Daphnia pulex: one gene and its partner. The protein of the gene in region 2 purifies or fractionates together with the protein of the main gene of each other region. This does not show direct contact. Links are inferred from orthologs where the notes say so. Each region holds a gene or a part of one and is shown on either strand. Other genes may lie near its edges.

Region 1 (4,009 bases), on a different chromosome or scaffold from region 2:
AGAGGGAGGGAGGGAAGGGGAATAATGTAAGCAACAACACACTCGGTCACATGGCCTTGGGAAGTAAAGAAGAGTAAAACGGAGAATACGGAAAACGTACTAAGGTGGGCAGACCGTCCCCGATCCTAACGTCGTTCAAGCTTGTTTCCGCCTCTCATGGGCAAACGCACCTAAATTTGCACGGACAAGGTCGCTTGTCGAAACCGGTAGCATTGCACAAAATGACAACTAGTTCTAAATCCTGGCGCCCAGAAATGAACCAACACATTCATTTTAATGCGGATTCATATTTTTTTTTTACCTGGACGAGCTTCATTTGTACGATTAAAAAAGCTTAAATAAACAAAAGAAACTCGTATTCCAGTTAAAAATGTTGATATTTTTCGAAGAGAATACTTTTTTTCATGAGGGATTTGGAGTTTCTAAGGATGAATTGAGAAGCCGTGGGAATTCCATCCATAAAAGGTTGAGTCGAGGGGGAGAGAGAAACCTGCTCCGTGTGCAGATTCTCCTTCCCAAAAATGGCGAGTCCAACCAAAGGCGGATGATAGGCGGTTCGCGTTGGCTCGGATCGAATCAACGAGCTCATGAATTAAAGAACGAAGATGGGCTTCACAAAAGGCTAGCATGGAACCCAAAGGACAGAAAAGCAACCCTCACGGAGAAAAAGAAAAGAACAAAAAAATTGGTCAAACAAGTGGATAGATAACGTACATACGGAGGAGAAAGTAGAGGAGAAGATGGAAAGGTCAGCCCATAGCCACAGGTAAGAATGGATCCAGGAAGAAGAAAATAGTTGGATAAAAGCTCGGAGACAGAGAAAACGGCTCCTCTCTTTCGCTGAGGGTCTCAATAGAGATGGCGGGAGGAGGGGGGACTCGTACCCAAGGTCACTATAAAAGAACAAGGTATTCAACAATAAGCAACCTAACCCACCAGCAGGAAACGTAGAGATCCCCCGTGCTTCGCTATGCATTCTCTCTCTCCTAAACACCACAGGCATTTGCCCCCGTCTCTTTCTTTACAGGTAAAAAGAAGAAGAAAAAAAAAATGGTAAAAGGTAGGAGGGCATTCCACAGACCTTTTTTCTTTTTACTTAAGGCCAGTATACATTCCATCGTGGTAAATTTGAGTTATTCAGTTGAGAAACTATGAGATCTCAACGGTTGTTCGACGAACCCTTAAAAATACGCGATTTGGCCAACCCCAACACACGTATCAGATGGCAAGAGAAAATATTCTAGTAGTCGGGCATGACTGTATGTAGTTATAATTTAATAAATAAGCAATCAGTTTTCGAGATGTGAGACGAATGAGGCGCCGTAAGTTGAGAAGGAGGGGTTGAAACGCAACAACCTCTAAAGAAAGCGTTTCTCGCTGTCGACAAGAGACTAAATCTTAAAATGGTTACCAGAGATGAAGTGGACCTAGCAACCATTCATTCAGAGCTAAACAAAACTTTTATCTTTCTCTACAAAAAAATATACATGCTACACACGAAAAAAGAGGTTTTTCTGACAGTAAAAACAAAATAGGATTCTGCAACTCACAATTTCATCGTATTTTCTCCCAAGAAAAAAGGTGTGGTTGCAGAACCCAATTTTCTTATGTCAAAAACTCCTAAGTGTGAAAGCAGCTTTACCCTACTGAGGGATGGTTGCTCCATAAAGGCACGGCCCGGTTCTATTTTTGCAGTTGAGATAGCTGCTCCAAACTGCGTCTCGACAGCGGCAAACTCCGACCCCTCCTCACGCTCTCAACTGTCCCGTTCAACCTGCGCATTTTGCTCAAATCGGCCACCCCTCAAGACTTTTTATGTAGTTCCTATTGCTTCTCCTCGCACTCTGAATCCGCCACCGTTTAATAATAGAACGCCATGACTTTCGGGTCCACATATCGCAAGCAGAATTAGCTAACCTACCCCGGCGCCTGTCCTTCACTTACGCCATCACTCAATGAACGCTGGCTGAGTAGTGCTTTTGCAAGGTCGCTTTCATCGAGGCTATATGCTATTATTCAATCGTGATGTACGACACAGTTTCAATTCGTGGGGACAGACGCAAAATATTTGCAACTTTACTATTTCACTAAACTTTGAGCTTGTAACTGAGGACTAGATCTAACTTAAGAAGTAAATAAATGAAAAGAAAGATTACTTTAAAAAGTAGACTTGTCCTTGAGGTGTCTTGGCTTGTTCCCATCCTTCAGGAAGTGGGAAGTGATCGAGAGTTAAGTCACAACTCTGTTGCTTTAAGTGCTGATGTACTGGTCGTTGTTGACCAGCTGCCAAAGTCTGTTGGAGTGAGGCTGGAGAGCTGTGTGCTCTCGAATGGTGAATATTGGCTGATGGTGAAGGGTTCAAAGCAAAATGCCCAGAATCTGTGCTGTTTTCTCTGCTGTGTGAATTAGATGCCACAGAAGGAGACTTTGATCCAGTTGGAGGTGGTTTGAAGAAAGAATCTGGCAGATTTCGCAACCGAAATGGCAGCTGCAATGGTCTGTGGGCATCAGGCTTCAGTACGCTGTCAAACAAGGCTTGTAATTCGGAATCAGAATCGCCACGAATGTGTACGATTTGATTCCGTTCTTTGTGCTCGACCACTTCGGGATTTTTTGACATTTTAATGATACCAGAACTTTCAAGCAGTCGAGCAGATAGGATAGGTAAGGGAATTACAATATGCTAAACAAAGAAAGACAACAACTAAGATCATAAAAAATGAAAAAGGTTAACTCAATAATCAGCCGACACACCCTTCCACACAAAAGACAGTCTGGCGAGTAACTGATGCACCTCATCTATGCAACTAGGCAAAAGCCGGAAGGTGGCAGGCTGGCATATCAATTTTTTCAATAACAAACTCGGACGCCATCTTCCGACTATAATTCATTTTACCTGATACTTGTTTTTTCTTTTTTTTTACAATAATTTTACATGATCTAGTGTTTCAAATGCTTTTTTTTTATACAAAAAGCAAATTTCCACAATTGAATGCAATACGAATGAAAATTATTATCGAATTACTAGTAAATAGAGAAGCAATGAACCTTTTCTTCATTAAATAATTTAGCTGGAAGTTATCGCAGCAAACTGTTTTTAACGTCGGTCATAGCAATAATCTTACACAATTTATGGTTTTCACGAATGACTATGTTTTCTTGTTAATTTGCAAACAAGACGGATAAGGTTTGTATGTGTATTATGCTTTTGAATTTCTCAAATGGTCAAGGATTGAAAACATGCATAGGGATGGAAAAACACGAACCCCGATGTGAAATTGTAGAAGAACATGTAAGAGAAATACAATCAACCTGTCCAATCAATCTCTCCTTTTTTCCACAAAACTAAAAGCGAGAGAAGAGATAAACGAACTTGCATCTACCATCACGCACCATCAGAATCGTACGACAACTTCTTTTCAGATTTTTCAAAGCAAACATTTAAACCGAGAACTTCCAGTAAAATGAGTACAGCGATCAATGATACCATTCAACAACTGGCACCTTGCGGATGGACTCTACGTCAACTCCAAAACGGCGCGTAGGATAGTTTTTTATATCCCGCAAAAAGGAAGAAAAATAAAATAAAATAAAATAGAAAAATGTCGCATTTGTTTTGCTATCGCTTAATTCATTCTTAATAGCTTAATTCATTCCGCAGTGTGCACGCCAGCTTTTGATCCCTTATCTTTAAAAGCTTACTTTCCCGATCAATTTAATCAATGAAATGAGCTTTGAGGTACTTCATCATGCCGAATGTACGAAATCTCTTAACGCCTATAAATTGTAAAAAAAATAAAACTCGTTAGAAATCACAGATTTTGAACTAGAACGGAAATGGCTTTACCAAAAACTTTCTGTAATTGTTCGTCACAAACCGCAAACTGTTTGTTCTTGGGATCCTAGACAAAATTTTGAATAAAACATATCAGTTATTGGTTCAATGAATTATTTGACATGAAACTTACATATAGGTTTCTTTCCTTGATTATAGACCACATTTTTTTTA
Region 2 (4,331 bases):
CCTTTTTTCCCCCATAGACCCGGTCGACCGAGAAACCATACAAACAGCCTTGTACACCCTTGGATTGATGACCTGCATCGATTTCGTCCCATACGACGGCGAGGTGGAGGACTACTTGCTTATTTGGCCTGTCGAGGAACCAGCCGGGTAACGACCGCTTCTCACGATAAGAACAATTCCACTTTTAGTTCATGAAAAGAAAGAAAAAAAAAGGCCTTTGCCACCGAGCTGAGGGAAATATTTGTACTCATTCAAATTCTGGTTGGCTTCTGTCTATACAGTTGCTGGTCGTTCATCGGTCGTACGGGTGGGCAGCAGGTCCTGTCGCTTCAGCCTCCAGATAGTCAAGGTATGGCCACACCGACACAAAAGAAAAAAAAAAAAAAAAAAAACGGGTTTACCTCTAATCCGGACCCCAGCAACTAACAAGTTCTAAAAACGTTATCAAACATAACAGGTCCCAAGTGTCTGGGAGGGCCGGGAAAAGCTATTCACGAAATGCTCCACGCCTTGGGTATTTTTCACGAGCAATCACGAGCAGACCGAGATGACTACGTCACTTTGAATCAAGAAAATGTCGTTAAACGTGAGCCAATTTTGAACCGAAATTTCTCAAATTTTTTATGATCTATTTTCATTCCCTTCTTCTATTCAGCATTTTTGCATAATTTTGCCAAGCAGAGTTTGCTTAACACGACCTACGATTTCGAGTACGACTACACGTCCATTATGCACTACGGGACCCATTTCTTCAGGTAACTAGCCTTTCAAAATGAATTTAAAATGGAATATAAAGTGAAGAGATTTTATGTTCCATGTTCAAAATTAAGTGCGGGAAGAGACAAGCCAACGTTGGTGCCGAAGCGTCGTGATGCCAAGATCGGCCAGCGCGACGGATTGAGCCGGACGGATTGCTACAAAGTGAATAAGCTTTACGGTTGCTTCGAAATTTCACCTTACGAGAAGCTCAAGTACGAGTCTTTCTGTGACATACTCGGCCTTTGAGCTCGCAAACGATTTGCGGCCACTTCACCCTTTGATCGAACAAAAAAAAAATGTTTTAACAATATAAATTATGTCGTGCGTCGTGCCAACATACTTCTATCCTCTCATCAAATCTACCACTATTTCATCGTTTGTTGTGCTATAAAATCGCTATAAGTTTGTTTTCCAAAACCAAGAGACAAATCAGACGAGTTGAAGCGCGACACATACTCTATTCCAGGATGGAAAAAAGTTTTCTTTCACAGAATACAAGAGCCGGAAACGATCTAAAATCGAGTGGGACGATCATAATATTCAGGAAAAAAAAAACTACAAGACGAACGGTCGGGAAACGACTAGAGATTAAACGCAAAAAATCAACTAGTAGATATAAATTCTCGGTAGAACGGGAATAAGGAATGCTATAGCGTGATATATCAGATCGACATCAAATACACACAACTATAATTTTCTTAAATAGATGTGAAGTATATTAGGGAATAGAGAAAAATTTGCCGACCGTGAATGTTGCGAATTTGGATGCTCTTTATTTGAATTTCTTGTCCTTGCTCTCCTCATAGCTGGGCGGGGCATCGTTGGACTAGAAAAACAAATAAAATGTTTAGTTTTCATGTCAGTGAAGGAACCTTTTAAATGGAATCTTACATATGCTGGAGGAACGTAAGCATAATGAGTATTGGGATCGTAGTAGGCAGTTCCGCTTGCGGCAGCTTCGGCAGCCTTGGCATCTATACAAAAATTGCATTTTATTTGAAACAAACAAAAACAAATCCTTTGAGTTTTTTACCATTTGAAGATGGTGCGTATCCATTATTAGCATTTCCAGGATAAATTCCAGGGTATGGAGGAGGCATGTCAGTCATGAAAACTGAATTTGCTATAAATAAATTTTAAACTATGAATTTCAATTTGAGTTCTAAGAAGGAATAGATATAAACCAACCTGGAGGAGCATTGGGAAATGCATTCGTGGGTGGAGGCACCCATCCATAATAACCACCATTAGGAGTAGAATAGGCTGGTGGTGGAGCGTTATGCCATGGTCCAGATGGTGGCTGATAGGCAGGTGGTTCATCAGAATATTGATGATTACGCTTGGCTGAAAATACAAAACCTCTCTGTTAAAAAACATACAACAAAATACAAAGAACTAGAGAAAATGAAACATACTTATACTTGCAGCTTGCAACATAGCTTGTCCATATTCAATGGCTCCACCATGTTTGAAGTGGAGCTTGAACTTGACTTCTCCAACCCATCCACCATTTGGCTGGGCACGAACTTTTCCTTTAATGTAGTTTGCTCCAAACATGGGTTGTTCCAGTTCAACCTAATATCAAGTTGTCATGACTATTTGAATATTCGAGTGCTAATGAGAAAAATGAACTTGCATCTTTCATGGTGCAAAACGGAAAGCTGAAGCTTTGAAGAGGATCTTTTGTTGTCGAACTGTTAAAGATCATCCTGTGAGTAGTCAAGTAGAGCCTGCCTGCTTTATCACCCTTAAACTCTGGTCTATCTTGCCCGCTGAACTCCATCACGACGTTGTCGCAATACAACAGAATACTGAAATATAAGTTGTCAAAGGTAAATGCGAATTCGATTTTCTCGTTAGTTATTTGATGTCTCTACAACTCACCATTCTCCAGCATAAATCAGCACACCGTTATTTGCGTGAGCAGTATTGAGAGACATTCTTCGATTTCGTATTTTACCAGTTACCAGAATAGAGGATGCACGACAATGACACGACGTTTCAATGTTATGAGTGTTTTCGAGAATATGACGAAATCGGATAGGTCACGATAAAACAGATGCCATCTAGCGGACATTATTGTAACATTTGCTTTAAAGTTGAAGCCGCCTAAATTCGAAAATCGGAAGAATTGGAGATGAAGGTAGACAAGTTTATCTTCTAAAACAAAATAAATAAATAAGATAAGAATAGTAGATTATTTAAAGCTTCATTCATAATCCCTCCCAGATTCAAATTATAAAGTACGAAGTTACCATCTGCCATCTTACCAATTTGGATCTTTATTTTTAAGCAGACATGTAGGCTACTTCAGAAAATCATTGAAACCGTAATAAAATTCAATCAACAATAAATTTATCTGTCAACTTGGTAGACTTATATTACACCAAAGAGCTTGTACTATGCTTGGAGAAATAGATGTTTCTGGAATTGAGATTCAGCTGTCTAATACTCCATGCTCTTACTACTTTTCATGAAAAGTGTCTTCAACGACAAGAGACGCTTAAATGAATCCCGGTTAACGATTTCAGGGTTATCTGGAATGAAGGAATCGGAGCCGTTGCGTTGGGTGATTGCTCGAATTTAAATCGCCGGAGAAGATTCGATAACACGATCTTGCTTCCAACATTGCAAATCTTTGACCTACAAACACAAAAGTAATGCAAAGGCGGCATTTGGCAAAATCATTATAAAATACGTATAATTTAGAAATTAAAATACCGATACAGTTGCGAGGTCCAGCACTAAATGGTATGTAAGCGTACGGATGTCGGCCAACGGCCTGGTCAAGCAAGAAACGCTCTGGCTTGAAAACTAAAGGGTCTGGGAAACATTTGGAATTTTTATGCGTAGTTAAAGCTAGACATCCCACCGAACAACCGGCAGGTATCAAATAATTCCCTATAGAAGGACAAAAAGATTATACTTCTATATTAGCAAGTGATGCGGATTAGAAAACGTGTAACGTCACCGATTCGAATATCTTCTTGGACATGTCTTTCAAATCCAGCTATGCTGGGGTACATCCGCAATGTTTCCTTGATGCAACATTCAAGATACTTCAAATTGGGAATATCCTCTTGAGTGCATTCGCTTTCCGACTTCCCAAAGACATCTTGTAATTCGTTGTACGCTTTTTCCTGATTGTGGCATACACGGTGTCATGTGAAATTCCCGATATAAATACCGGATGAAAATTTGATTGCTAGGGATATTATACATTATAGTATAATAGCGTCAATTGTTTTTTACCTGGCATTCTGGGTTCACTGCCATTAAGTAGAGAAACCATCCCATCATTGAGGCCGACGTGTCGTGACCCTTATTAAACATCAGAAACTTTTGTTTGCGCTTCAATCAATAATTACTTTTACTGGGAAATAGTACCTCAAACATGAAAGTGTCAATTTCGTCTTGAATGTCCTGATTGGAGAGAACTTGGCCGTCATCGGAAGCTGTAATCAGTAAATCGAGCAGTGCTAGCTGGTTTCCTGTTAGATACAATTTGTGTTTGGTCATAAGTTATTGTTTTGAACACGCTGTAATCTGTACTGGTTTCAAATTCTGTCGGG

Evidence for each region.
Region 1: the proteins of WW domain-binding protein 2-like (region 2) and transcriptional coactivator YAP1-A-like purify together in Homo sapiens (affinity purification with mass spectrometry; 7 studies listed by BioGRID and IntAct, with this or other methods). This does not show direct contact. The link is inferred for Daphnia pulex from reciprocal best matches to the Homo sapiens genes WBP2 and YAP1.

What each region holds. Positions count from the first base shown.
Region 1 is NC_060025.1:6,895,076-6,899,084, forward strand, and holds the start of transcriptional coactivator YAP1-A-like, read right to left. Parts: upstream 2,801-4,009; 5' UTR 2,621-2,800; coding exon 2,157-2,620; intron 2,058-2,156; exon of another isoform or gene 1,643-2,057; intron 1-1,642. Other genes in the region: nucleolar protein dao-5-like, read right to left, coding at 3,716-3,777, 3,848-3,902, 3,969-4,009. UniProt on the Homo sapiens protein: Transcriptional regulator with dual roles as a coactivator and corepressor. Critical downstream regulatory target in the Hippo signaling pathway, crucial for organ size control and tumor suppression by restricting proliferation and promoting apoptosis.
Region 2 is NC_060023.1:8,646,021-8,650,351, reverse strand, and holds the start of WW domain-binding protein 2-like, read right to left. Parts: upstream 2,801-4,331; 5' UTR 2,700-2,800; coding exon 2,644-2,699; intron 2,571-2,643; coding exon 2,396-2,570; intron 2,335-2,395; coding exon 2,175-2,334; intron 2,104-2,174; coding exon 1,948-2,103; intron 1,883-1,947; coding exon 1,793-1,882; intron 1,734-1,792; coding exon 1,651-1,733; intron 1,586-1,650; coding exon 1,532-1,585; 3' UTR 1,505-1,531; exon of another isoform or gene 1,006-1,504; coding exon of another isoform or gene 831-1,005; intron 756-830; coding exon of another isoform or gene 656-755; intron 587-655; coding exon of another isoform or gene 458-586; intron 350-457; coding exon of another isoform or gene 282-349; intron 148-281; coding exon of another isoform or gene 18-147; intron 1-17. Other genes in the region: hatching enzyme 1.2-like, read left to right, coding at 18-147, 282-349, 458-586, 656-755, 831-1,005. UniProt on the Homo sapiens protein: Acts as a transcriptional coactivator of estrogen and progesterone receptors (ESR1 and PGR) upon hormone activation. In presence of estrogen, binds to ESR1-responsive promoters. Synergizes with YAP1 to enhance PGR activity.